4 linked regions of the Mytilus edulis genome follow. The protein of the gene in region 4 purifies or fractionates together with the protein of the main gene of each other region. This does not show direct contact. Links are inferred from orthologs where the notes say so. Each region holds a gene or a part of one and is shown on either strand. Other genes may lie near its edges.

The links.
Region 1: the proteins of pre-mRNA 3'-end-processing factor FIP1-like (region 4) and cleavage and polyadenylation specificity factor subunit 2-like purify together in Homo sapiens (affinity purification with mass spectrometry; 7 studies listed by BioGRID and IntAct, with this or other methods). This does not show direct contact. The link is inferred for Mytilus edulis from reciprocal best matches to the Homo sapiens genes FIP1L1 and CPSF2.
Region 2: the proteins of pre-mRNA 3'-end-processing factor FIP1-like (region 4) and cleavage and polyadenylation specificity factor subunit 3-like purify together in Homo sapiens (affinity purification with mass spectrometry; 5 studies listed by BioGRID and IntAct, with this or other methods). This does not show direct contact. The link is inferred for Mytilus edulis from reciprocal best matches to the Homo sapiens genes FIP1L1 and CPSF3.
Region 3: the proteins of pre-mRNA 3'-end-processing factor FIP1-like (region 4) and prolyl 4-hydroxylase subunit alpha-2-like purify together in Homo sapiens (co-immunoprecipitation; 3 studies listed by BioGRID and IntAct, with this or other methods). This does not show direct contact. The link is inferred for Mytilus edulis from reciprocal best matches to the Homo sapiens genes FIP1L1 and P4HA2.

What each region holds. Positions count from the first base shown.
Region 1 is NC_092346.1:19,602,857-19,610,925, reverse strand, and holds the start of cleavage and polyadenylation specificity factor subunit 2-like, read left to right. Parts: upstream 1-4,917; 5' UTR 4,918-5,033; intron 5,034-8,069. Other genes in the region: uncharacterized protein, read right to left, coding at 3,188-3,247, 4,669-4,767. UniProt on the Homo sapiens protein: Component of the cleavage and polyadenylation specificity factor (CPSF) complex that play a key role in pre-mRNA 3'-end formation, recognizing the AAUAAA signal sequence and interacting with poly(A) polymerase and other factors to bring about cleavage and poly(A) addition.
Region 2 is NC_092350.1:41,935,396-41,942,373, reverse strand, and holds the start of cleavage and polyadenylation specificity factor subunit 3-like, read right to left. Parts: upstream 3,058-6,978; 5' UTR 3,018-3,057; coding exon 2,947-3,017; intron 2,154-2,946; coding exon 2,090-2,153; intron 1,306-2,089; coding exon 1,208-1,305; intron 103-1,207; coding exon 1-102. UniProt on the Homo sapiens protein: Component of the cleavage and polyadenylation specificity factor (CPSF) complex that plays a key role in pre-mRNA 3'-end formation, recognizing the AAUAAA signal sequence and interacting with poly(A) polymerase and other factors to bring about cleavage and poly(A) addition.
Region 3 is NC_092352.1:54,411,910-54,419,479, forward strand, and holds the start of prolyl 4-hydroxylase subunit alpha-2-like, read left to right. Parts: upstream 1-4,523; 5' UTR 4,524-4,665; intron 4,666-6,038; exon of another isoform or gene 6,039-6,126; coding exon of another isoform or gene 6,127-6,717; exon of another isoform or gene 6,718-6,790; intron 6,791-7,570. Other genes in the region: DNA replication complex GINS protein PSF1-like, read right to left, coding at 6,127-6,717. UniProt on the Homo sapiens protein: Catalyzes the post-translational formation of 4-hydroxyproline in -Xaa-Pro-Gly- sequences in collagens and other proteins.
Region 4 is NC_092351.1:28,666,945-28,674,941, forward strand, and holds the start of pre-mRNA 3'-end-processing factor FIP1-like, read right to left. Parts: upstream 3,098-7,997; 5' UTR 3,040-3,097; coding exon 2,973-3,039; intron 1,338-2,972; coding exon 1,304-1,337; intron 242-1,303; coding exon 178-241; intron 1-177. Other genes in the region: uncharacterized protein, read left to right, coding at 5,204-5,887, 7,393-7,578.

The sequences.
Region 1 (8,069 bases), on a different chromosome or scaffold from region 4:
ACTTGCACAAATTATAGTTGTAAACATGTAAACAATACCAAACATACAGTTATCCTTGGAAAATATATACTATTTAAACTGCTTTTATTATGGGTTTAAACATTTGTGGCTAGTAGGAGAGTTTATGATTTTTTGGATTTTTCAATTTGTGTAGTTTAGATGCTTCTTACATATATATCAAAAGAATATTTTAATTTCCTTGAGTATTATGTATACAGACATGGACATTTTCCAATATGAGATATTTCCCTTATCTTGATATCACATGGAAATTGAAATGCTTAAAAATATATCCATCGCACATATAGTTTATACAAATTAATAACAACACTGATGTAATTAAAAGGCACAATTTTTGTTTGATAAAATTTGCATTTATGATTAATTGTGAAAACTGACCAAAAAAATACCAGCACTTTCATAGTCAATTGATTATTTTCTTGCTTCATTTATTATAAACACAAATCTCCTTTAAACTGCAACATTTAAGCCTGAGGCATGCTTCATGTGGTTTACTTTTTTGATAGGCAGTTTAATTAAACTAATCTATGCATAGTTACATATTATCAACAGGTAAATTTGTCATTAACCCTTTCCTCCATAATGACGCCTTTTGACGCCACCCCCTTTACTCCATAATGACGCCTTTGGACCCCTGTATAGTGCCTCAGTTGAAATGTATTACCTAGGATAAAACTTCATCAGACTTAAAAAAAAATGTAACTAATATAAAAAGGATATTCATGAGAACATCTGACTGGAATTTTATTGATGAAAAATTTGTTTTCACAATGCATTAATACTTTAAACCTGATGATTATCACGATTATTTTTCATTGAAAAAATCTTGTGCAAATCAAGTATGTAAAAAAAAAAAGCCAAGGAGGATAGCTCCTCCTAGCATCAAAATAATACAATGGTATAATAAAAATATAACATGTAATTTAAGGTTTTCACATGGTATACAGTTACTTATAAATGTGTAAAAATGTGTGTATACTATATGTATATATTGGGTCTTTAAAGACTCTCATAAATCTTTTTTAAGATTGGCACATACATTGTAAATTTTTTAATGTTTTAAGTCTATTTATGTGAATCTCATTTTATGTTTGTATGTGGTGAGACTATAATAAAATATTGAATTTGAATCTACTTCTTGTCTGTTATAATCCATTTAATAATTGGACAATTGAGTTTTCATTCCTTTGCACTTGTTGAAAGAATACATAAGAAATGCATGTCCACAGTGAATCAGTTATATTGTTACATATGGTACATGTATAAGAAAAACATGAAAGCAAGAAACCTAAAAACACAAGTCCACTAAACAAATACATTGTTTAAAACCACAAAACATTGATGTTTTGGGTTATTTGTGTGTTGTAAATACAACTTCAGAGTTTAGTATAATGTCCATTATCACTTAACTAGTATACAATGTACATATTTGTTTAGGGGCCAGCTAAAGAACGCCTCCAAGTGCAGCAATTTTTCGCTACATTGAAGATCCATTGGTTGGGTTGTTGTCGCTTTGACACATTCCCCATTTCCATTCTCAATTTTATTCATTAATTTATAGAAGATGTTTGGGTTAAAAAGGAGCATACATCATATTACATGTACATTCTGTAGTACAATATTAGACAATTGTATTGTGATAGAAAAAGTCACTCATCATCCCCTTAATATAAATTAGATTATAAATACTTTAAGAAATCTCTAAAATATGTAAACACTTTTCAATACAAACATAAAGAGAGAACAACTAAGAAATACATTTTTGGAGAATGCAAAAGATAGCTTCATTGCATTTAACATGATTAAACAACAGCAAAGAAGAAAACAACAATATATTTCCATTAGACACCATATATATCCTGCACTCACTATCACATTTCTGTATTCAGGGAACTGATGAAATCTGGCTCAAAACCCTCATTTGCCAGATTATTTTGTTAAAATATGCACATCATACATGTAAGGCCATGTGTGATTCCAGTTACTCTACTTAACATACCAGAAATATTGTACTTGATCTGAATATTGTGGTATGAATAAGCATTGTTTAGAAGTTTTATAACATTTAATAAGTGGGCAAACTTTGATAAGCGACCCCTATGTTTTTGTTTTAATAATGAGGGGCCTGATGGGTTATTTTCGTTCTTCTTGATCGGTGCATTTTCGCTATTGTGATCCGTTATTTTTTATATTTTCGTGATCCTTGATCATGGAAATTTATTTTCTGCAAATTGTGATAGACAAAAAAATCAACTAGTGAATTGTGATGAGACTGCCCCATCAAACCCCTCAATAATAGCCCACCCTTAAATTTTTTGGTCATTTTTCATTAAGCACTGTTAAAGTCAAAATGTTGAATGTTTTTGCTGAATGTAAAAAAATATCCCTACCCCCTAACCTTACTTTTTTTTTTATATGTATTTGGCCTAATGAGCAAAGGTATTAATTAATTTTCATGAACATAAATGTGTGACCACAACTTCAAGGTAAATTTCTATTTTTTCTGTTTGGTTCTGATGTTGTGCTTTAAAACTATCTACTGCCCAAGGTTAAACATCACCACATTCTGTCCTAAGCCTTAAAAAGTTTACATAATAAAGAACAAGTATGTATAGTTGTTAACTTCTGTGTCATTTGGCCTCTTGTGGAGATTTTGTCTCATTTGCAATTATACCACATCTTCTTTTTATATATATATATAGGCGATTTGGTGTCACAATATCACAGTAGCATGGGTTCGAATCCCGGCGAGGGAAGAATCAAAAATTTGCGAAAGCAAATTTACAGATCTAACATTGTTGGGTTGATGTTTAGACGAGTTGTATATACATTATGTACACAGCCATGTATCACCATCATTGATGGCGATTCGATGGATACATCTGTTGTAGAGTTGTCACTGACTCAGACGTACTTATATATATATATATAGTTGACTTCAGTGTCATTCGGTCTCTTGTGCAGAGTTGTCTCATTGGCAATCGTATCACATCTTCTTATTTTTATGTTTCAAGAGGATATGACCACAACTTTATATTAGCTTAGTTAACATGATACAGGATTAAAAATGGGACACAGAACAGAAAAGATTAGTATATCCATCCATTGAAGTGGGGCAAAAAGCAAAACAAAAAATGAATTTACATAATATGAAATGTTGACATACCTTAGTACTTCTCACTGATCTTAAAAAGGTTACTGCATCTATCTTGATCTCATTGGACTGCTATTAAAGAAAAAAATATATGCATTTATTTTTCATTATCTCTTCTATTCATATACATTTAAAAAATGTTTCATATCCCACTAAATTGGCTCACTAAGAGTATACATGTATTACAATTTCCTGTATTATCACATGTAACTGATTGATGTTTTTTATTTTTATAAACCTATGGTCAATTTTATCTGTTCTTCATTGGTTCAGCTGAAACATTTTGTCAAATGACCACTGTTTCCTGCAGCTGGATAATTGTGATAATCCATTGGATAAATGATACATTAATAGACATGAAGTAGAGAGAGAGATAGAGATTTTTTTATTTGATTCAATTGTTATTGCTTAAAAAAATAACAACATCTTTAAGGTTTAAGGTCATGTTTTATATTGAAATTTTTGCAAAACATTAAGAAATAATTTCTAATTACACATGCATCAATTTAAGGATTTATTATCTAAATCAAATTTACTGTTTAAACTTTAATATGACCAAGGGCCAATTTATTAAGAAACTGAATCGACTGTTACATACATGTACATGTACATGTATAAAGTAAATTCGTGAAAAAATACCTTAATGTAGTTTGAAGAGAAGGGTTCAGTAACTTTCAATATATATACACGAGTTGATCAAATTGCAATTGTATGCTTAAATTAAATGAATGATTATACCATTTTGGTAAATAACTGACTTAATTTTAAGTAATATATTGTTTACGTCCGATTACAATGAATTTCATAATAACCCACTTGGAAGATTGAAACATGCTGGAATTAAATAATCAAACAAAAGTGATTTAAAATGTATTATTTAACATGCTGGAATTGAACAAAACTAATTTAAAAAGTATTATTCATCAAATTTGAATATGAAAAAGGTTCATATTGCCCATACACACAATTTTAGATTGCTTTCATTGCAATGATTATGAGAATGTAATCAAAATGTAATCAGATTCTTGGGTGATTAATGATTACAATTACCACAAGCCTGGTATAAAGTTATATGAGATTAGGGAGGTTCCTCATTTCTGTTTTTCTTTCATAGTTTATAGTTTTTTTTTATTCTTCAGTCAGTTATTTTCATTTTTTTTCAATTTATGATTTTAGACACCATAACTCTTTATTATGTTTATTATTTATGACCATTTCTCTCTATAGATTTATTTAGCTGAGGGCTCATTTTCTATTAACCCCTTACCAGAACCTCTTACATCATGTACATGTAAATGATGTATGACACAAAAACAATCAATGGAAAAATAAACAAGATAAACAGATAAAGCTGCCTCAATACTTTCAAAACATCTCTAACTGATCAGTCTTAATCATACCTATAGTATAGAACTGGCATGACAATGAATTTGATTTAAAACTATCCAAACGTCACAATTGTCATAACTTATTTATTTTTTACAGAAACTCACTTGTTGCTGATGTTGTTTATCAGATGAAAACTTCAGAAAGAGAATCAAAACTACACAAGTTAGTATTGCAAAAGCTGAGACTAAGAATAGATACATCATTCATCACTTTCATATTTGAAGACGCCAAATTAAAACCAGATTATGAAAAGAAACTTTCATATCCATCTAAAAATTACTTCATACAAGTGATCATAAGTTCTGCATCAGTAACAAAGTTCAACCGGAAATGACTTAACTGAAGTTAGCTCCCTTTTTAATGTAAAGTTTACATCCGGTGTAAATCCAAACCAACGTGAGCTCTTGGCCGCCTAAACAAAGTGTTTTCTATTCACTTTGCAATTGTTTCAAAGCTAGAATTAGATGAGGTGAAATCAATTATTGTAATAAACAGTACTAGTTTCATCCACACAATACTAGATATACACAATGGTCCCATAAAAGCTAATCAACTAACCGGCACAAACCAGACAACAAGTCAACATACACTGACATAGGGGCCGAGTTCACTTGAAACTCTACAATCAACTTCAGAGTTAATAGATTATCACGTGAACGCACTAGAGTTGATATTCGGAACAACTCTAAGTCACTCTAGGGTAATGCCCTGACCAAGCATAAAAAATAAAATATTCTCATTGGTTTGACGTCATTCAAGAGTTTCTCGAGTTTAACCCTGGCTCGGTGAGGGTTGGAACTAGAGTACGAGGGGTTAACTCGAGTGATTCAAGTAAAATCGTATTGTTAACTCGAGAGTTTCAAGTGAACTCCGCCAGGTAGTCCATATAATTATGACGTCTTGAAAGGCTAATATTTTTTCTTTCTTTGACGCCTTACATCAACATTGTTATTCAGACTAACAGCACCTCAGATTCTGGCGTAGTACTAGTCGGCAAATGTCAATTCGGCTCCTATTTAAAGTCATTTTCAAATATTTTGGCATCTTGCTTGTAAAAATTGGGTATAATTTAAAAAAAAAAGTATTAATTATAAACAATAAGCATGAATGCATGATAAAACACTTTTATCCTACATACATATACGGTAAGCACAAGATCTAATGAGAAAACAGTAAGCACATCTGTTATCATGCAAAACATAAATATTGGTACCAAGCACAGCAAATTTAAGAAATTATTGATGCATTGCAAGCTATTCTTTATTGTAGTTTTAAAATGGGTAGGCATTATATTCGTGATTATATTTCCCCGAGCGATAGTAAGGGCTAAAATAACAGGAACATATGCCACAGCAAATTTAAGAAATAATTGATGCATTGCAAGCTATTCTTTATTGTAGTTTTATTGTAGTTGTAGCATCGGAACTAAACACATTTATTTCTTAAAAAAAAAACAGTTGTTGGCATGACACGGGTTATGTTCTTCTCATATATTTTATGATAGTATGATACTAAACCCCTAACGGGAGGGATTGTACCTGATATTCATATGATGAAGACATAATCTTTCAATCAGTTTAATTGAGGTCTGGAGCTGGCATGTCAGTTAACTGCTAGTAGTCTGTTGTTATTTATGTATTATTGTCATTTTATTTATTTTCTTTTGTTACATCTTTTGACATCAGACTCGGACTTCTCTTGAACTGAATTTTAATGTGCGTATTGTTATTCTTTTACTTTTCTACATTGGCTAGAGGTATAGGGGGAGGGTTGAGATCTCATAAACATGTTTAACCCCGCCGCAATTTTGCGCCTGTCCCAAGTCAGGAGCCTCTGGCCTTTGTTAGTCTTGTATGATTTTAAATTTTAGTTTCTTGTGTATAATTCGGAGTTTAGTATGACGTCCATTATCACTGTACTATTATGCATATTTTAGGGGCCAGCTGAAGGACACCTACGGGTGCGGGAATTCTCGCTACATTGAAGACCCATTGGTTACCTTCGGCTGTTGTTTGCTCTATGGTCGGGTGGTTGTCGCTTTGACATATTCACCATTTCCTTTCTCAATTTTATTAAAATGGGTAGGCATTATATATTCGTGATTATATTTCCCCAAGCCATATATAGTAATGGCTAAAATAACAGGAAAATATGCCACAGCAAATTTAAGAAATAATTGATGCATTGCAAGCTATTCTTTATTGTAGTTTTAAAATGGGTAGGCATTATATTCATGATTATATTTCCCCGAGCAATAGTAAGGGCTAAAATAACGAACATAATGCCAGTCACCTGAAGATTTCATAATTATAACGAAAAAATGGGGGAAATAAAATAACACGAATATAATACCTACCCATGTTAAAACTACAATAAAGTATTGCTTGCATCAATTATTTCGATTCTGATTAGGACAATGAAGGTATTATCTATATCCGATGTATATAAGTGTACAGTGTTTGTGTATATATCTCTTCCATGAAGTTGAACCTCCCTTTTTTGTTTGTAAAAAAGCAAACGACTGGCAATGTGAATTTTCAGAGGGAGGAGTTTGAACAGCCAGCATGAATGGCTGTCGTATCTTGCTCAAATATGTCAATTTCCATTTGCAAATTACAGTCATAATAAATGAATTAGTAACAACATGTGCATCATTTAAGAGTTCAGAGTTGTTTTAAGTTAATGAATTATATTAAATGCATGCCAATTTGATAAAAATCATTATTCTGCAGTAGTCAATATACGCATGACCATGTGCAAACAAATTTTATTAGAGCATGGGTTTATTCACAAAGCAAAAGAAGCACGTCATATTAGAAGAGCAATTAATGTGTCTGATCTGTGTGTCTTTTTCAAACGATAAATATGTTTATATTAATGTACAGTTGTCACAAAATGGAAGTTCCATAGGTACTAAAAGTTATAGTTTAAGGCACTTTGGGACAGTAGAATTATTTTAGTATTATATGAACACAAATATACTCTAGAAATAACTTGTTTAAATTTGCTTTTTACTATCCAAAGCACTTGGTGATATTCTCTTATTCTCTTTTTGATATATCAGCCTTCTTTTACTTTAGACAAAATGTTAGACAACCCATAAAGAGCTATATGTACTAAACTATTCTTAACCCCTAACCTTACCCTAACCCATACCGTAAACCCAAAACTAGCCCTAACCCTAAAAGCTAACCCTAACCTTAAATTAAATATCCTCTAACCATACCATAACCAGGAATTAACTGGTACCTTTACTCTAGGTATAGGGACCCTTAAAGTAAGAGAAGGCTGATATATCAGTGATGCAAAAATAATTGAATTGAAATTAAATTTAAAAAAAAAGACTAAAACACGTTTGTGATATTTTGAAAAGAAATGGTGTGACTGTGTCAGTTGTGTCATTTGGTTATGACATTTACATATGTACAGACTAAGTACTGTATTCTATTGGCTCTCAGTTTGTATTTAAAATCCAAACTTGTTGAGATATATATTTAAGTTAAAA
Region 2 (6,978 bases), on a different chromosome or scaffold from region 4:
CATCTATAAATAGCTTTTGTTGCATGGGTCATGAAACACCGTCCTTTGAATGCTGTTTTCTCTAAGAAATATGGCAATGCTCCACAATGATCTAAATGAAAGCTGTAAAATATAAAGAACATAGAACTATATAGTACTAAACAAAAACTAAATCTCGCTATAGAAACTAATATACTTAACAGATCTGTTTTATTCCACATTTGCCAGAAGTATAGAGTTGAGATCTCACAAAACATGTATAACCCAGGCTCTGCAACATTTTTGCACTTGTCCCAAGTCAGGAGCCCCTGGCCTTTGTTAAGTCTTGATTTTAGTTCAATTATATGTTTTGGAGTTTAGTATGGCCTCCAATATCACTGAACTAGTACACATCTTTGTTTAGGGGCCAGCTGAAGCAGGTTTTTGGTGTGGTATTTTCTAGTTGTGTTGAAGACCCATTGGTGGCCTTCAGCTGTTTTTTGCTCTTTGGTCAGGGTGTTGTTTCTTTGACACATTCCCTATTCTCTATCTTATCTGTTTTAGTTCAACCATGTTTCATTCGATTATTGTGATGGTATGATACTAAACACCTCACGGGGAGGATTGTGCCAGATATTCATATGATGAAGACATAATTTTTCAATCATTTTAATTGAAGTCCGCAGCTGGCATGTCAGTTAACTGCTAGCAGTCTGATGTTATTTACCGTATGTATTATTGTCATTTTGTTTATTTTCTTTGGTTACATCTTCTGACATCAGACTTGGACTTCTCTTGAGCTGAATTTTAATGTACGTATTGTTATGCGTTTACTTTTCTGCATTGGCTAGAGGTATAGGGGGAGGGTTGAGATCTCACAAACATGTTTAACCCCGCCGCATTTTTGTGCCTGTCCCAAGTCAGGAGCTTCTGGCCTTTGTTAGTCTTGTATTATTTTAACTTTTAGTTTCTTGTGTACAATTTGTTCATTATCACTGAACCAGAATATATTTGTTTAGGGGCCAGCTGAAGGATGGCTCCGGGTGCGAGAATTTCTCGTTGCATTGAAGACCTGTTGGTGACCTTCTGCTGTTGTCTGCGCTATGGTCAGGTTGTTGTCTCTTTGGCACATTCCCCATTTCCATTCTCAATTTTATTCCTGTACGGCACTGCCAAACTATAATCACTGCAAGATAAATGAAATTTTTTAAAATGTATTTAAATTTTTTGCTTTCAATTTAACACTCACTGACTGATCAGCAACAGATCTATGTCTTCAACATCTACACAATCTAGGTATGGAAGGGAAGCAACTCCATGAAGTCCTGGGTGAATGCCACAGTCCAACTACAATACAGAAAAAATGGCGTTTTAACAATATAAATGTACTCTTACAATCATAAACTTCATTTTAATTGCCAATTGTACATGTTGGTTGCATGGAGAGTTAACTTCTGTAAATTGAAAAATTTAGTTTGTGGTTAGTCATAATTTAAATAGTAAAACAGATGTGTTTGAAATTGAGTCCTTTGAAGAGTTTTCTTTTAGGTACCGTAATATTCTCCAAATATACTGAGATTTTATTCACAAGGTGATATATATTTGATAAATATGCAAACCAAAAAATCTGCCTGTTTTGGAACATATTTCATGACTCCTACTTGAAACTGATTTAATCTCTTTCTCTGAGCTAGCTGAGGTATTTTATGCACCTTTAATGTAATTAAAATGTACATTTACAAAAAAGTGAATTAATCAAAGGTGTTGTTTACTTTCTTGGATCAACCGGATAAGCATGATAAGGTCATCTATGTGTATTACCATGATGAAGATTTTTCTGTATTTCGTCACACTCTTGTTAAATTGATTAACCCATGTCAATTGCAACCAACTAATATTTGCTTAAGCACACAAATGTGATTTTGATATTTGATCTTACTTGCTTAAGAAATTATTACATTTTTAAATGACATACAACTTTTTATGGTCACATTATCATGATTATTATGAAAGGTGTATAAATTGTGATTTCTTTTCCCTAAATAGTCATGATAGTGAAAGATTTGATCACTCAAATGTCCCAAGAAAAAACTAGGTTCTGGAAAGTTAACACCTGTTACTGAATATTTACCATAATTTTCTTTCCTTTGAATTCCAGTATGTGACATGATCTACCTACTTCTTGACCAGAACCTCTGAAATAAATATTAATCAATGAGAGAAATATGATATATAATAAATTTTAAATAGAGATAATTCTAAACCAGCATGACTACTATAAATTCAGAAATTTTTGCGGGCATTATCCATGTTTTATCATTGCATTTTTAGAAGAATGGACAAAAATGTGAGACTAATTTTTGCGATTTCGAGAAAAATCTGCATAAAGATGTATGTCATGTATGTATCAGATATCAAATTTAGAGTTCTTTTTTAGGCATGCGGTACTCAAGCAGTCCTATTATTTGCATAAATTAAAAGCAAAGATTCCTTGGTCAAGCTGTGTAGATATCCAGATTGTGATATAAAGGTACGTCTATTGGAACCAACAGTTCTTCAAGTTCAACGATGTCAGTAGGTGCTTTCTTTCCACACAAGTTAAAGCCATCATCGGTACCTTTGATATAATGACACAGTTATGTTGTAATTATTTAATTTGGGCGCCCTATTTCGCAAAATTATATAAATCTAATTAACGATAGTCTTGTCTCATGGGTTTTCATGCTATTAAGAATGCATTGTGACGTCACAATTTCCATTAAAAAAACATGCATAGTACAAATTCGTTTGACGTACGAAACCATATGATCTGACCATATACATGTATTCATGGTAGGTAGAAAGTGATATTTGTAAAAAAAAAAAATCACAATGTTTGATTGGTTTTTTGTTTGTGTGTGTGTAGGCACAGTTAATAATACTTTATATGAAAGGACGAACAAGCTAAGAATCTATAGTTATTATTTATGAGTGAAAATATATGCTAACAATGGTTTTATTATCAACTGATCACTTTCTTCTATAGGAACTTGGCCCTCTGTTGTTTCATTAGAAGCCATTTTTTTTCTGATTGTTACTTCTTAATATGACAAACAGAACTTACATAAATACTGTAAAATGTCATACATTTTCATAAAATAACACAAAAATAACTTTATTTCATTGCAAATTCATATATTTTTATATGAAATATCTATTTAATTTATTTGTTTTGTTTAATAATACCTCATTTTTAAATAGTTTCGTTTCTTTTAAAAATCTGCATTTGTAAAATTCAAGATGTCTGCGCCCATGATGAAAAAATATGCCGAAAATTATAGTAAGGATCTATATATCTGATCATATCTTAGGATTAAGTATTTGGGTCAAATACAATCTTGTTCATTTTATATCTCTAGTCTTCTTAGGGGATTAATAGTAAGGATCTATATATCTTAGGATTAAGTATTTGGGTCAAATACAAATTATTATCTTGTTCATAAATTTTCATATCTCTAGTCTTCTTAGGGGATTACCATTTGATTTTCTTGGGAAGAGGTATTCGGAGGATTTTGAAAAACAATTATCCTGGCCTGGTTACAGCTGAGGCACGAACATAAATACATGTAACCTTGGTAAAACTAAAAAACTGAATGAAAAGAAATTGTGGCAAACAAATGTTTCTCCATCAAAGCCGCAGAAAAAATTTAGCATACTCGGCTACAGATCCATTGTAGGGGCTGTTGTGTAGTCTAAATAATTTATAGTTAGGAAGGCGCCACAAATCCCTCTTGCTGCCGGAGGGACACATATGTCCATGGTAAAATTTATGCAAGTTTCTCAATCAATGCTGTATCTCTTGGAATTAAAAAACCGAAGATTAAACAGTGTCATGATTTTCTCCAATTGGTCCCAAATGTAACGGTCATTATGTCGTGACGTCATATATCGAATGACGTTGTTTGGCATGTTAGGTCACAGACGTAGCTGTCGTATTCTCTTGCATATGAAATGCAACCTTGAAAAACGGTTGGCAGCAAGAGGGTTAAAAAGCCTTTCAAGTCGTCATAATTATTTTGACTAGCCATAGTGGTAATCTGACGGTCAAATAGTCAAATGATTCAATGGTCTGACAGTTCAATAGTCTAGTCAGATGGTTTAGTGCTATTATATATAGTGATTCATTACTGCTAGACAGAATTATTCTGTATTTATGAAGCATATATTTCGTGATCTTCATTTCCTTTTAACTGTGTTTTCTTTTTCTATTGACATGATTGATTTATTTATTATTTTCATTGTGATATGTAAAAACAATAAGTGAAAATCAAAAATAGTAAATGAAGATCATTCTCAGGAAATATACTTTTTCTGTGGACAGGTGGACACTGATGTTTGTTTGGTTGTTCATATATTAGCTTTCACAACATCTCCACATCTGGGGAGAGAACAACCCATCCAAAGAATTTAATTCTACGTAACTCAAGAAATCCCTCAGTCCAGCATATCAACTGCTGAGTCTCTGAGTTCCATGGGATGTTTTCAAAAGACGAAAAGTTGGGCACACAACAGCAATTAGTAGGCACCCTTTCTAGGTCTTTTCACCACCAAACACCACCACACACAGTGGAACACCAGCGAAAACCCCCATTTTTTTTAGTTATCTTTTATCGTTATAAATGTGACCTAAATATAATATTTAAGTTATAAATTCAACAAATAATAAGATTAACAGACCAAATATCTACATCAAACACAGTCACTGGACACCTCAAATATGTTTTTTTTTCTTGTTTTTTTTCATCTTTAAAATATTTGTACCTATATCATGAATATTAATACTATCTTGTACTATTATTTGTCTGTTTGTCTTTTTCTTTTTTAGCCATGGAGTTGTCCGTCATTGTGTCAGTTTATTTTCGATTTCTGAGTTTGATTGTGCCTCTGGTACAGGCCTCGACAATAACGCTTGTCCGATACCAGAGGGAAAAAAGGTCGGACAAGTAAAAGCTGTATCAAGCTTGTCCGTCGGGACAGGTTCAATTATTTTGCAGAAAAAAAGTTTTAATTATTCAACTTTGATGAACATTTTTTTACAAAAATATTTTTTTTATTTACCATAAAATTAACAAAATCATATTTGATCATAAGTAGAAAAAAAACAATACTTGCAATATAGTGACCTATAGTTGTAAATTTCTGTGTCATTTGGTCTCTTGCTGAGAGTTTTCTCATTGGCAGTCAGACCTTATCTTCTTTTTATTGATTGTATTTGAATACACTTTTTTCTACTTAGAAAAATATAGGATACAAATGTCAAATGAGTGTACAGGCCTATCAGATGGTGCCTCATGTGCAGAGTCTGATGAGACTAGCATTGATGAGAACTATAACCTAAGTCCTGTGACATGAATTGATTCAGTTGTACTTGACTCATATTTTTGAAAATTATTTTAAAAAAAACCCATCAAATTCTGTTCTATTGTTTCAATTCGTTTTGTTCCTTTAATCAACTGAAGATGTAAAAAGATTATTTTACAGTAAAAAAAAAAATTGGACAAGTAACAATTTCATTCGGACAAGTAAGTTTTGGTAGTTGAAAAAAAAAGTTATTGTAGAGGCCTGTGGTATCTTTTGCCCCTCTTTTAAGAAGAGACATTTATCATATATATATATATATCAAAATCTAACTGACATGACTGATGAAGAGAAATCAAGGATACTTGAACTGATTACTTATTACGAATATGTTTGAATTTTATTTGAAATGTTTAATATATATATACATATACACACACAATGTAATCTGGATAAAGGGATGAATCTGGGGACAATTAACTCTATATTGATTTATTGATTATCGACTTTGACATAACAATGATGCACATAAAAATCTAAAAATTGATTTAATAATATGCTATTTAATTTATTTTATCGTTTTATTGTATAGTATCACTGTGGTCAGTGTTGTTTTTTTGGGGTGTTCAGCGGTATACAGTGGTGTTTGGTGGTGAAAGGACTCTGTGGCCATGATTTTGCTGATTATCATTTTAACTGGTTGTCTTGCCACAAGACCAAAGTTCTTTACTTTTTGCCACTAACTGTGATTTAATTGAAAAAAGCACCCACTTATCTGAGCAGTAGTAGATCAGTTGCTAACAGAGCAAACTTACACATATGACTCTTCTTGGGCGCCATCTGCACCCTTCTTTTTTGGCGAATTTTGACTGTCAATATTTGCAAAACATGAAAGTGGTCATCTCTGTTAGGATCTGTAATTAGGCACTTCACAGTACTAGTACTCTTTTCTGGTACCTTCCACAGTCAGGGGACTTACTGAAATAGGTGATTTTTAAATCACTTATTTGAGTAGCAAAATCGTTTTTTTGTCACAAATTGGAATTTTGTATTTTTTTCCAAATTTTAAACACATAGGTTTAAATAATATCTTTTAATTAGTAAAATTAAAAAAAACAAAACTTTTTGCTTCTTTTAAGTAGAAAGGTTTCTGCCTTTGATGCTATCATTTAGCTGAAAATTCTATTTTAGTTGAAAAAATGCTATAATAATGGCTTTACATAATGAACTGATACTTTCTTAAAAGATTTTTCCCAGCAGTGGGAGTATTTTTCCTGTGAAGTTCAAGGTTTCATCTTTCAGATTATGTAATAAAATTCTACTGTTCGCGATAAAAATCTCACTGTTCAGGGGTGTTGAAATTAGTAAGGATTATTAAAAGAATGATACTTAAAGAAGTGATTTTTGGGAAGGAAATTGAGGTCTGATACTTAAACAAGTGATTTTTATGTCATTATCCTAGATTCAGTACAAGGTCATCACCTGAAATGACCTGGTCATCCTAGACAACACAGATGTTGGTTCTGATAAGTTAATTAAATTAAATTAAAGTTAAGTAAACATAATTAGTCCCTGGATCATTAGTATTCTATATTTAAAGCTACAATAAAATTAAATCACTTCTTCTAGTGATTAATTTGTACTACTTAAATAGGTGATTATTAAAGAAAGACAACTCTAACT
Region 3 (7,570 bases), on a different chromosome or scaffold from region 4:
AAGCAAAATGACAATGATAACATAAATAAACAAAGGACTGCCTGCTTGCAAAATTATGTATTCATTATAAATATGGAAATCAAGCACAATCCATCCCGTTAAGGTTTAAGTATCATACCATCATAAACTATACGAGAAGAACATAAATCGTATCATGCCAACAACTAGTTTAATAATTAATTTGTTTATTTCCTGTGCATAGTTTGATGGTATGCCGGTAAATTTAACTGAGAATAAAGGTCTTTTTTTGTCATACATGCAAAGGATTCCCAGTCAGACATACAAACAATAATATTGTGAATTTTAAAAGTTCTTTTACATAAATATAAAGAAAACAGGAGATGTATGATTGCCAAAGAAACAACTGCCCATCAAAGTTCGAATAAAGAGGATGAAGTCAATTTTAGGAAACCGTACGGTCTTTGGTGTTGACTGAACATTTAAGCTATGATATTTCTACAGATATTCTGTGCTGTTAAGACCTGTTGGGTTATTTCTTTATCCACCAAAGCTTCTCTAAAAATGCAAAAATGGGTAAAATCATCATTAAAAGGAATAACTTCTATAAATAGTAAACTGACAATTTCGGCCATTAATTTTGACCAAGATATGGTTATCTTGTCCTGCTATCAATTTAATTAAAATATGGATCTCTGATGTAGTATAACGAAATCAGAGATCAATATTTTAGTCAGATTGGTCCTGCTGTCAATTTTTTCTATATATTGGAGTAATCAAGATAATCAAGATAATAGATGAACACACAAACTAGTTGAATGTATTGTCATGTAAGGTCAACAACTCCTAGTGTGAGTGGACCAATGTTTTTGGCAAACCTATTTGAAGATTATTGTTTCCCCTCCAAAGTTTCATCCTATAATTTATTGTTTTCAAAAATATAGACTATATACAGTGATATTGTTTGCATTAAATTACTGGAGAATAAAGGCGTTTTCTCCTGGAGAAGAATCCCAATTTGAAAAACTAGAGGCTCTAAAGAGCCTGTGTCGCTCACCTTGGTCTATGTGAATATTAAACAATGGACACAGATGGATTCATGACAAAATTGTGTTTTGGTGATGGTGATGTGTTTCTAGATCTTACTTTACTAAACATTCTTGCTGCTTACAATTATCTCTATCTATAACAGTACTTTCTGTGGAAAATCTTCAAATTTTAAGAAAATTGTTAAAAATTGACTATGAAGGGCAATAACTCCTTAGTTATCCGATTCATCTGAAAATTCCAGGGCAGATAGATCGTGACCTGATCAACAATTTTACTTCCTGTCAAATTTGCTCTTAATGCTTTGGTTTTTGAGTTATAAGCCAAAAACTGCATTTTACCCCCATGTTCTATTTTTAGCCATGGCGGCCATCTTGGTTTGTTGGCCTAGTTACCGGACACATTTTTTTAACTAAATACCCCAATGATGATTATGGCTAAGTTTGGTTAAATTTGGCCCAGTAGTTTCAGAGGAGAAGATTTTTCTAAAAGATTACTAAGATTTACGAAAAAAGGTTAAAAATTGACTATAAAGGGCAATAACTCCTAAAGTGGTCAACTGACCATTTTGGTCATGTTGACTTATTTGTAGATCTTACTTTACTGAACATTATTGCTGTTTACAGTTTATCTCTATCTATAATAATATTCAAGATAATAACCAAAAACAGCAAAATTTCCTTAAAATTCCAATTTCAGGGGCAGCAACCCAACAACGGAATGTCCGATTCATCTGAAAATTTCAGGGCAGATAGATCTTCACCTGATGTACAATTTTATCCCCATGTCAGATTTGCTCTAAATGCTTTGGTTTTTGAGTTATAAGCCAAAAACTGCATTTTACACCTATGTTCTATTTTTAGCCATGGCGGCCATCTTGGTTGGTTGGGCGGGTCATCGGACACAATTTTTTAACTAGATACCCCAATGATGATTATGGCCAAGTTTGGTTAAATTTGGCCCAGTAGTTTTAGAGGAGAAGATTTTTCTAAAAGATTACTAAGATTTACGAAAAATGGTTAAAAATTGACTATAAAGGGCAATAACTCCTAAAGTGGTCAACTGACCATTTTGGTCATGTTGACTTATTTGTAGATCTTACTTTGCTGAACATTATTGCTGTTTACAGTTTATCTCTATCTATAATAATATTCAAGATAATAACCAAAAACAGCAAAATTTCCTTAAAATTACCATTTCAGGGGCAGCAACCCAACAAGGAAATGTCTGATTCATCTGAAAATTTCAGGGCAGATAGATCTTGACCTGATGAACAATATTACCCAGTGTCAAATTCGCTCTAAATGCTTTGGTTTTTGAGTTAAAAGCCAAAAACTGCATTTTACCCCTATGTTCTATTTTTAGCCATGGCGGCCATCTTGGTTGGTTGGGCGGGTCACTGGACACATTTTTTAAACTAGATACCCCAATGATGATTGTGGCCATGTTTGGTCAAATTTGGCCCAGTAGTTTCAGAGGAGAAGATTTTTGTAAAAGTTAACGCAGGACGACGACGGACGAAGACGGACGACGGACGCCAAGTGATGAGAAAAGCTCACTTGGCCTTTCGGCCAGGTGAGCTAAAAAATGGCTTAAAATTATTCCCAAAAAGACAACTTTTTTCCGAAACAGTGCAGTCAAGTATTAATTGCGATTGAATTCAAACTGAAAAACACTCATTTAAACATTTTTAATGTCTAAAAATGACTATATGTACAGATTTGAGGGTCTATTTATGTATCATCACTGACAATAAGGGCTCTTATTTCAAATGAGGGTTTACCTCTTGAAAGGGGATCTGCAAATTGAAGTTCCAGTCAAATTCATGGTTAATTATAAATTTCCCAATTTGATACAAATGATGCACATTTTTCCAATAAAAAAGGGTAGAGGTAGTTTTGAAAAAAGCCAACAATATCACTGATATAACTCCCAAAAATGATTAAAAAAGTGTCACTTTTTATTTGGCAATAACACCAATAAGGACTCTTCTGACGAGTTTGACCATGATTTCAATTTGAAGTTTATACATTGAAACATTTTATTTCACTAAAGGCCTCACATGAGGCATGATAGTACAACAATATAACAAATAAGATATAATGCATGAACAAACATATTTACAAATGCATGAATACAATGTTTGCATTCTGCAAGCTTTGAATTGAGTTATTTCCCTTTGACCATAAAATTTTTGAAAACCCAGTAAATGTATACAGCATTGAATGACTATCTGAAACTTGTATAATTCAAAAAACGAAATCTGTTTGTCACATATGGTAATATACACATCATTTTGTAAATTGGATATCTGAGTATCTGTTTAATAAATTTCTCAAATACCATGATAGGATACAATCAATGTACGCCTCACGGCACCGTGTTGTGTGCACTCAAAAGTACAGGTAAAGAAGAGGTTTATATAGAGTTAATCAGCCAGTAGCTATTGGACTTTGATTGCCTGCTAATATATTTAACCCCAAAACTGAAGCCTTACTCTAGATCTCAGCAAACCTCATATATATTCAGTGCATACATTGTCATCAATACACCAAATTAAAGATACGTCATAAGTGGAGATTTAAAACAAGAGTACACATACTAAAATGTCTCTGTAAATTATGCTTATTTACATAATAATAAATCAAAAGGCTTTCACTTTAAAATGTGAACATAAAATTAAATATTGTATGGCATTTAGACAAATCATATATTTTCAATTGGAGTTATCTTCCTTTGTTCACAAAAATTGTACATTTGTAGTCGAAAGTTCATTCACCATGCCCATTTATAATAGTGTCAAGTATCATGGTTATTCAAATGTACATCATTTTGTAAACTTAATAGCCAAGTATAACATATCATTTATAAATTTATTGAAATTGACTGAATAGGATCTAAACAATGTCATGCAGTTTTAGTACCTTTTGCTTAAACTATCTGATACACACAAACCATGGAAGCTAATTATCATTGACCAACAAACCATGTAAATGAGGTCATTAGAAAATGGCAGATAGACATATGCAATCATTCCATAGTTACATGGTATAAGTTCGGTACTTTTGTTATTTTACTTCTTTCCATACAGCAAATATAGTGGACCTATTACTTATTGTACATTTGTATTTGTATATATATGAGATATAGACCAAATAACAAAAACTAAACATAAAATGAATCATAAAAAAGTTCAGTCAGATTAAACCTGCCAGACAGAAACCAAAATCAGCTGTAGTATTGCTTATAGTATCTGAGAAACAGACAAAACCACAAAAACTTAACATTATTCAATGAACCATGAAAATAATTTCAAGGTCATAAGAAACATGCCAGACACATATGATCATACCACAATCCTTCAATTTACAGCAAAAATCGTGGTCCCATTGTTCATGTTGTTTAAAGTATTTGTGAAATAAACCAAACCACAAAACTTAACATTACTAGTATCCAATGAACTGTTATTATGAATGTTCAAGGTCAGAGAAAATCTTTCAATCTGACATGTGCACCTTACAATCATTCCATACACCAAATATAGTCAACCTAATGGTTACATTGTCCGATATTGACTTTACGATGAAAACTTAACCTTGATCACTGATCCATGAAATGATGTCAAGGTCAAGTGATTTGTCTAACAGACATGAAGACATTGCAAGGATCCAATATACCAAATATATTTCTACTACATATTGTATTACTCATAATTATGAGTACATGTATGTCACATTAAAAAAAGTTACATATAGTGAAGCATCCAGGTCTTCTACCTCAAAAATATAGAGCTGTATACAAATAGTTTATGCCACTAAGTATCTGTCCCCAGTTGGGAGCCCCATTTGTAGCTGGCTGTCTTTTTTGTATTTAAATATAAAATTGAGAATGGAAATGGGGAATGTGCCAAAGAGACAACAATCCGACCATAGAAAAAAACAACAGCAGAAGATCACCAACAGGTCTTCAATGTAGCGAGAAATTCCCGCACCCGGAAGCGTCCTTCAGCTGGTTTTGATTGTTCATAGAAGTCGTACACATATTTGATCAAACTCGTGTTGTTTTCAATTCATAAAATTGAGAATGGAAAAGGGGAATGTGCCAAAGAGACAACAACCCGACCATAGAAAAAAACACAACAGCAGAAGATCACCAACAGGTCTTCAATGTAGCGAAAAATTCCCGCACCCGGAGGAGTCCTTCAGCTGGCCCCTAAACAAATATATACTAGATCAGTGATAATGAACGCCATAAAGGGGTTTCATTATCTTTCATGTTGACTGGTACTTTCCATGTTTCTAGGTGGTACTTTTCAATTTATTCCCTGAATATCTTATATAAAAATTCCTACATTTAGGCGGTACTTGTCAATAGCATAGGAGGGTAAAAGTACCGGGTACCGCCTTCTAATGAATGGCCTGGCCGGCCCATACTAATTTCCAAATTGTACACAAGAAACTAAAATTAAAATAATACAAGACTAACAAAGACCAGAGGCTCCTGACTTGGGACAGGCGCAAAAATGCGGCGGGGTTAAACATGTTTGTGAGATCTCAACCCTCCCCCTATACCTCTAGCCAATGTAGAAAAGTAAACGCATAACAATATGTTTTGCTATTTGCATGACTTGGACTCTGGAGACTCAACTTTTTATGACAGACCTTCCAAAGACTTCACTACATGTTAACAGACTTTGGGCAATTTGAGCTTGATACATATTTGATGATTGATATTTGCTCGACATTCAGTTAAGTTTGATAAACATGTGCATGTATTAATGTTGTGGAATATTATTCAATAGCTCTCATCATTCAATAGTCAAGTTAAAACCCTGAATTTAATACTGTTGTTGCATTAGCCGATTTACCCATCAACAGACATATTCCTTGGAAAAAATTAATAGTTAACCGAGTTTCTGTGACATACATGTACATGTAGCTGTGAAAATAACTAACAATAAGGGCAATATTAATCAGTTCACCCATTGGGCCAGGTGACCTACATTAAATGAAATAGAATTAATCCAAATACTGTCTGGTATTGTCTATTGATTTTATTTGATAAAAGTTACACACTTGCTTTTGGCTTATTGCACATTAAATAAACTTGATTCAACAGTGTTTAACCATGGACAATATGTTCCAAAACTCCTTGTCTAATTAAATGTTCACATTCAGATCTCAATAGAAAATGCTGGCTATTTTTCTTCAACAATACAATGTTACCATCTTGAGTTTCAAATTCACCGTGATCCATCAAACACCTGACTTCAATGAATAAAGTTTTTGGTGGTTTAAGATCTTGTGTGAGATCAAGTCCCCCGTGGTCTCCTATAGACCTCATATAGTTTGCTAGCAATTTGTTATATTTTCCAAACCACTGAACTTCCTGTTCACCTAGGTTCAATTTGACATCCGAAGGCAGTACACTTCCAAACTCCCATCTCATCTTCTTAATGTGTTGTAATCTGTTATAAATATATGCTAAAAGACACCTTTTATTCCTTTCCAAAGCAGCATGCCGAAGTTGTACTCCTGAAAACAAACCATTTTCTCCAGCAACTGTGGCGCTGACATCCTTCTGGTTTTGTTCAAACAAAGCTTTCATCTCCTCTAACACGTGTCTGGCTGTATCTTCATTATATGGACCAAGTGTGCTATCAATTGTTCGTTGTAACTCAGCAATGAGCTCTAAAGCTTTTTCGGCTAACATTTCTACGATGTTCAATGTATGTGACTGTTTATCAACTTAAATTCCCGCCATTTATAACTCCCCTCGGAACATTTTATTATCGGGTCTCACTAATTAGCGACAACAAGCGTCAAGAAGCGACAACAAGCGTCGACAAGCGACAAGAAGCGACAACAAGAATTATTTTAGCGACAACAAGCGACAAGAAGACTATTTAGCGACAAGAAAACATATTTTTTTTTTATTAGATATAAAGAAATTTGTATTTAATGTTTTTTTTAAAATATACGAGCAGATATGTCTAATTAAAATGTTTTATTATATAGATAGACGAAGAAATGAAACATAAATTTGTGAGGAAGAAAGAGATTGTGAAGTTTATATTAGTATATTGGTAGATGAAGAAATTTAACATTTGTGAAAAAGAAAGAGATTGAGGTTCTTTTTTTTTTATTTTTAAATATGAAGAATATGTATAAGATAATGTATGTATCTGTTTTCATCAAAGTCAAAGTATGAATAAACGAATGGAGATATATATATGGAGCGGGCATAACGGAATATAATATTTTGATTCATTTGCTTAATACTATGCTCTAAGTGTACTCTTGTTATGTCAATTCGATGCTTTATTTGTAGAACTCTCAGCCACGCTTTGCCATCTTTATTATTTAAGCGTGTTTCCAGACCCATGAGTCAAGAATTTTTGCAATGCAAAAGCCTTTTCTTTCTCCGATTTAATCTGCCATAGAGCTTTTGTGCATTGAAAATGGCTTACTGAGGAGCTTAGCTCAAAGTCTCCATGTCCATAAAGTGCGCCATTGACAAGACTTTCTTGCAACTTTATTTCTTTGTGAATTAGCTTATTTGACAC
Region 4 (7,997 bases):
TTTTGTACATGCATCAAATTATCATCTTCAATTTTTAATTCACTTGCTGTTGCCAACTAGTTTATTCTTAACTGTGTATTGATATGGTTTCATATACATGGAATTTCTTTTTTGTACACATGCACAAATCATTTTGGAAGCAAAAGTCTTCCATCCTTAATATATTTGATACCTTACCAATTCTCCAGCTTCTCTGTCATCCTTTCTGTCAGATCTACTGTGTTTAGGTGGGTCAGCAGCCCTGTTATATTAAATATAACACTTTTTTTTTTTTAAATACTTTACTAGCATGTGACTAGTGCATTTCAAAAATGGAGTGCCAGAGAACAGTAGGATGATATATATACATTTTGTACAATGTAGAATGTTTGCAAAGGTAGAAATGAAAAAATAATATTAATAGAGAACTGCAGAGATTTCAAGATATTTCAGATATATGTGTAATTATTTTATATGCATCGCGCTGTAAATTATTCATGTTATTCAACTAAAAGGTCCGAGACCACAATTATTTCGTAGTGCATTTCTTTTAGAACATAAATGAAAATTTAAAAAAAAACCACCTGCGCTTTCTCAAGCTCAAAATATGGACAATTTTATGTTTAGAACGTCTTGAAATCTTTCAACAGCTTCCGAAGTGCTAATTTTTAACCTTTTTCAGCTGGACCAAATCACTACTTTCCTTAAAAATTTGAGACCCAAATTTTTTTACAGTGTAATTTCACCCCCCTTCTTGCAATTTGAGGCATTACACATGGAGAAATAAATTTGGAAGGGGTATAAAAATTAATGGCAAGTAACCCACTGTCAGCACTAGGGACTATATTTGTGAACAACGAAAATCAAGGGACGACAATTGTGGTCTCAGACCAAAACTGACTCAATATACTGAGGAAGATAAGAAACTTTCATTTCCTTAGATATTAATTGAAGGGGCTTAATACATGTAAGCTACGTTTTTGTCAAAAAAATAAAATATGAAAGAAGAATTGTGAAATAATATTTTGCTTAATAGCAGTAAGTTTAATTCAATTTTGTCAAAATAAGTTCAATTGACAAGAAAACAGTATGTATAATATGACAAATTACTTAATAAAATGTACATGCAATATCATAAATATTTAGCACTTCCCTTTCAATCAATCTAAGAATTTGTAGGTTATTCTTCTATGAGTTGTTTTATTGGTATCTTACCAATGTTCAATCTTATTATATTTCACTGTACAAACATGTTCTTTAAAGAGATACATCAGTATTTTATAATGTTTATTTCATATACAGATATATAGGCCATATAGCTTACCCACTAGCTTTTTCTTGCGACTCTTTATTATCATCTAAAACAAAACAAAATTTTTTTAATTACGAATGTATGAATGGAGGTGTTGATTTTTCGCTCCTAAGATAAGTCATCTTATTTTTTTTTGTATTATATGCGAATGATAAATGTATAACATTTATGAAAGGGTTTAAGCATTGTAGGCCCGTCATCATCAGGGATTTACCTACATGTATATCAATTTATTTTAATTTTGTCGTTGTCAATAGATCTACAATACTTATATGCATTTTATAAGCTATTATTGGTTTGCTTGAAAATATTTCGTTGCAAACTGCATCCTGTTTTAGTAGGTCCCAATGTTTACTAATGCATTGTTTTAATTTATGAATGCACTTTTTTTTGGATTGATGTAAACCAATAGACCACTTTCGAGTTCATCCGTCACCGGCAAAAACTCGTCAATTATACACGCCTTTATGACGTCATTTACCAGATAGAGGGGCTCGCCTGTATCCCTGCACTATTTACGTTCATCAAGCGTCTTAGTGATCGTCTTTGTGCAGGATAAACTAGAAATAATGGTTGCTCTGTAGGTACTTACTGACATTTCCTTAATGACAGCAGTGTTGATTGTCAATTTTGAGAATTCATATTTGCCAAATAATTCGTACAATATAGAATTATAGTTTTCCAACCACTCGCTCAACATTGGAAGGAAGTGACGACGCCCCTAAACGCACAAATGACGATGATAAAGGCGCGTATAATTGACGAGTTTTTTCCGGTGACGGATGAACTCGAAAGTGGTCTATTGCAAGTCTAGTAATACTAGCATCATGTGATCAATATTTTGTAATATAATTACAATAAAATACTTATAGTATGTATACGGAGTCTTCGGAACTAGATTGTTTGCTATCGGAAATCGGATTGATGTTGGAATACGTGGATGTTAGGTGTCACTTTAATACAGTCTTCCGAATAAGATTGTTTGCTATTGGAATTCGGATTGATGTTGGAATACGTGGATGTTAGGTGTCACTTTTATACAAAGCATGTGTAATGTCCAGTACTGGCGGACAAATAGTGATAAGGTACATTTGAAAATAAAACATTCAACCACAGGGGCTTGTTTAGTGGGTCAGACAAGGTTTTACTGTCAATGGCGATCGCTATCCTATATAAAATAGCTGTCACTTTAATACAGAGTCTTCCGAATAAGATTGTTTGCTATCGGAATTCGGATTGATGTTGGAATACGTGGATGTTAGGTGTCACTTTTATACAAAGCATGTGTAATGTCCAGTACTGGCGGACAAAAACAAGGTATTTTATATAGGATAGCGATCGCCGTTGACAGTAAAACCTCGTCTGACCCACTAAACAAGCCCCTATGATTCAACCATGTTTTTAGAAACCACTACTGGCACTGGTCCACATAATCATGACGTCTGATCGATGAGGGAATTTACGATATGAATTTTACAGATCATTTAATGAAGTTGTCAAGGTAAATACTAAAAATAATAGAATGCTATATTAAATGGAGTACCAAGTTTTGTCTATAAAAATCCGAGTGACAAACGTAGACTTCTATTTCTAGCAACAGCAATTGTTCATTAAAAAACAACCTGAAGCAAAGCTAACATATTCATCAAGTAATGCCTTTATTTATAATCGAATACTTTACCCCCATAAAGCCATTCTTCGTCGTCTTGTGTGCCGGTTTGTGGTGCAGCTACACCGGCAGCCGCCATCGTGTTTACAATTTTACTTCTTTCAGTTTCGAATTATTTATATCGAACTGTTAAAACGGGTCAAATTATTTTCAGATATAATATTTATATCCAATGCATAATCCATGTATCATCTTATGATAGAATAGTGTAAAAACTACGAAACTCGATGTATGTAATTTATCTGAATACCGAAAATAAAATAAAGGTCCATAAAATTACAGGTATGAATATTTCTCTCAGATAAATATTTGATGTCCCCTGTCTCAGAATATCCCCTGATAGTGGGTTTATAACGAACATTTTGATGGCTTGCGGATAAAATGATCAAAATTAACTTTTCTTTCATAAAAAAGGCAAAATGTTAGATATCAGTCTCAGATAACAAAGATCAGCTTTCAACACAGGCTCAGAAGTTTTTCTATATATACCTCTACATTGTATATAGGATTTTTTTTGGAGACAAGTGCCTGTGGCTTTCAAGCAAGTCCTGGCAAATTATATAAACTGTAAAATTGATTGAAATCTCTTGGAGTCCGAACTAGTCCAATTAATAATTTTTGACGTCTAAAAACGGTCTATTTTTATTATTTAGACTAAAGTCTGTATTATTGCAAATACTGTTTGAAAATATGTTGCGCATTTCTAGTTCCTGCAAGTTGTGCTGTACATCATGACTTCATGTACATGAATGCATCTCCTTCATATGATTTTCCTATTAAAAGCAAGCTGTGAAGCCATATACGCTCGGTATTGGGGTATTGTTTATGGTCCTATTGATATTTAAGGGTCACTATTTCAATCGTATTCAATTTTTAGAATGGTTTAAGAGTTTATCAATTCAATCAACTGTTTGATCTCTATGTCAAAGGTTGACCACTATTGAGTTGATCAATTAATAAATTTGTTTTAGTTTTTTTCAAGGATCGTGATTGTATCAATCATATTCAATTGTTAAGATTGGGAAATATGAGACAACATCCCGACCAAAGAGCAGATAACAGCTCAGGGCCACCAATGGGTCTTCAACCACACCCGATGATGGGCCTTAGCTGGCCCCTAAATAAAATTGTGTACTAGTTCAGTGAAAATGGACATCAATGCTACACTCCAAAACATATAAATGAACTAAAATTAAAAAACATACAAGACTAACAAAGGCCAAAGGCTCCTGTCTAGGGACAGGTGCAAAAATATGTTGGGGTTAAACATGCTTTGTGAGATCTCAATTCTCAACCCTCCCCCTATACCATGTATACCTCTAGCCAATGTAAAATATTAAGGAAACACACAGCAATACGCACAGTAAAACTCAGCTTAAAAGACTTCTGGAGTCCAATGTCAGAATAGGTAACAAAAGAAACTAAGCAAAATGACAATTAATGATACATAAATTAACAAAAGACTACTAGCAGTTAGTGACATGCCAGCTCCAGACCTCATTGAAACTGATTGAAAGATTATGTCTTCATCATATGGAAATCAAGCACAATCCTTCTAAATAGGGGTTTAGTATCACAACAAAATAAAATATATGAGAAGAACATAACCTGTATCATGCCAACAATTGGTTTTAGAATAAATGTGTTTATTTCCGATGCAACAGCCCTATGAGTCAATCAATATTAATTCCAAAATATGCAATCCTTAATGACCTGACAACAGTATTTTTACTGAGTTTATTGAGTTGATATATATGTTCATCAATCATGTCAATGCAGACTGTCAGGGTTTGCACTTTTATCATAATGATCAATGGCTTGCAATTTTCCAACTTGATAAGTCTGCCCATATAGATTGTACCCTACTATTTCAATCTCCTCCTTTAAAATAAACATTTAAAATATGAAAATTGTATGAAGTTTTACACAAAATTCTATACGTTGTAAAAAAATAATTTAATCTGCCTTTTTTATTCAACTCTTTCATTAAAAATTTCAAAATATTGCAAAGATAGACTTTAGACCAAAGTTTAATCTTTTCCTACCTTCTGGTTAGGTCATCTGATCTTGTTTTTCTATTCGTTATGTTTTATTGTATAAATGTAATATATAAATCCATATTTTCATTTTTTAAACAGTGTATATATATACAAAATATTGAAATACTTTGTTCTTCTTTTATACAGGATTGAATGCCATATCCATGATGACACTGTAGTCTGTAGACAGGGAAAAACAGCAACATGAAACTTGTTAAATCACCAATAGCTGTGATGACTTTCTGCAGATTCAGACTTCTTTCATTATCACCAATAACCCATTACAATCATATGACAAACTTAGCCAGATTTTCAAAGATTCATTGCTCAACACAAACATCAAGAACATACACATGTGTTACAATTGGCAATTTAAGTAGCAATCTCTTTGAAAGTTGCCATGTGAAGAAATGTGGTAGAATTGAAGATAAACAATATTTTCATCAATGTGGTCCAAATCTAAATAAAAAGTTCCCTAAAAAGGTAAAAATTCATGATAACAAAAAGGGACAATCATCTGATGAATCTAATAATGTGAAACGTGTAAAGTTGGTGAAATTGATTGACACTATTCAGTTGTTTTCTAATGAAGATCTGTTAATTGGAAAGCAAACATTAGCAGGGGCTAAGGAATATGCCAACAGTAAAGGGTTCAAATTAGCTAAATTAGAGGGAAAATTTACAGAAGGATTCCCATCTTATAAACTTGTGACAAAAGAAGAACAAAAGGAAGAACAGAAGAAGACACCGAAGGAAAAGAGCCCAAAACGCTTTGACATTGAAACAAAAATTGCCGGCCATGATCTCCAGATTAAAATCAATCAAATGGTTAAAATACTTGTAAAAGGAAGAAAAGTCAATACTGTTCTATCAGCTGCTAAAAATGAGGTGAGTTGGCTTTATTGTTTTAACGTTTTGATATATAAAACTTATTGAAAATTTCAAATAGGGATATGTATTAAGACACAACCTTGAGAATGTTAGCCCAATGTACATGTGGTGTATTTAATTTACACCATGATATTATGGTTAATGTAAAGTGATAAAATTTCAAGATTTAGAGGTTCTTTCAGCAATTTGACCTTATTTTATGGTATGATAAATGCAAGACATCCATGCAAATAAATTTAATACTGCATCATGATATTACTACATATATTATATATATATATATATTGTCTAAATGTAAAATTATCTCCCCTTTCAAGAAATTTGTTAATTTTTTAACCATTGACTGAAGTGGTTAACATGAGCACATGAATTACTGAACAACATGCTTGTGTGAATAAAACATGTTAAATGAGACTAAAAGTCCAATGTCTTTATCATGCTGTAAATGTGGATAAAAAGAGATGCAAGGTATATTGTAATGATAGTGTATTTATTGAGATAACAACCAAAATAATTAAGCAAAGGATGTCTAGCCATCTGCTTTCAGTCTTCATCAATAGAAAGGACTGGTGTTAAATTGCCTTGAGCATCTTAATGTACATCCCCTTTAAAAAAAATACTTATCTTAATTTGTTTGTTGTATATCATGTATTTGACACTATGAGTCTTTTCTATACATGGCAAAGAAGTCTTGATTGATTTCCACCTCATGTATCATGTGTATTTTAGTAAATTTTGGTTGAACAGGCACTTGTCTTATTATGAACTTCAGGTTATGTGATACTTATTTGAAAAGGTTATAGACATGTACCAAAAAATGAAGCATTGAAAATTCATTAAGTATACCTGCTCTAATTGAAATCTCCTTCTGCCAAAGAGTTTTCCTTATACTGTAATGGCTGGAAATATGACTGAAAAAATGACTAAACATTGAAGTATTAAAATAATTATTCATGTTATTTACACAAACTGACTTAAATTTAATATTGTCTAATGTCATGAATATATAAGGAATGAATTTTCTGTCCATCTTTCCCTTTAAACAAACAAACAATTTGGGCACTTTATGCTCCCCTAGTTCATTAAGTTGTTCTTTCAAAAAAATAACTGTCATGACTGTTGTGTTTACTGTCTTATTTTGATTTTTTAACTGCATCCTAGTAAGGTTAAGAATGAATTTTCTTTCTGTTTTGGTTGCTTCTTTTTTGATTAAATTATGACCCATGGTCAAATGTTTGTAAATACATGCAATTAAGATTCAACATCCCTGAACTTTTTTAATAGTGCCTGCAGACATTGGTTTGAATTTAGATTTGTTTTGTATTTTTTTAAATGTGACTGTGTTTTGTGATCAGTTCTAATGAAACTGATTATAATTGAAACTATTTTACTGGTACATGTTGTTTTTTTATAATTTTGACAAAAGTGTTATTTCTTGAGAATTGATAATTAGAACTAAAGTCATGTAGAGCTATTTTCACAAGTTTTATTTCTTCTTGCAGCAAAACAAGGGACTACTTGGATCAGTTCACAAAGAGATAACAGAAGGACTTGACTCAGTAGGTTACATTAAGGATTCCAAATTCAATATTGATAAAGGCTACATAAACTCAGTATATGTACCTCGAGAAAATAAAGTGAAAACAGCTGATGGAACTTCAGAAGATGATGGGGACAAAAAAGAATAAATTTTTTGATTACTAGAATGCAACTCAGGATGTTTTTTTGTTTTTTATTGAATCAATTAAAGTGATTTTAGAACTTGATCTGGGGTATTCCTGGTGGTGACACATATAGTGTCAGTATGAAAATGAAATTACTGGTGTGCCTTGAAGAATATGTTGGCTTTGAAATAAATATTATTACACAGACCTGTATTTCATGTTTCTCTGAATTGTAGTTTTCAATCATCATTTCATAATACACATTTTTCACACAAAAAGAATAAGCAAACATAACACTTGATTGATTTAAACTGTTCCATATTAAAATTATTTCAAAGACAATAGAGACAGGGAATGTATCAAAGAGACAACAACCATACAATAGAGCAGAAAATTTGTAAGGGTTCCCTGGAACCCAGTGTCAAGCCTACTTTTGCTATTAA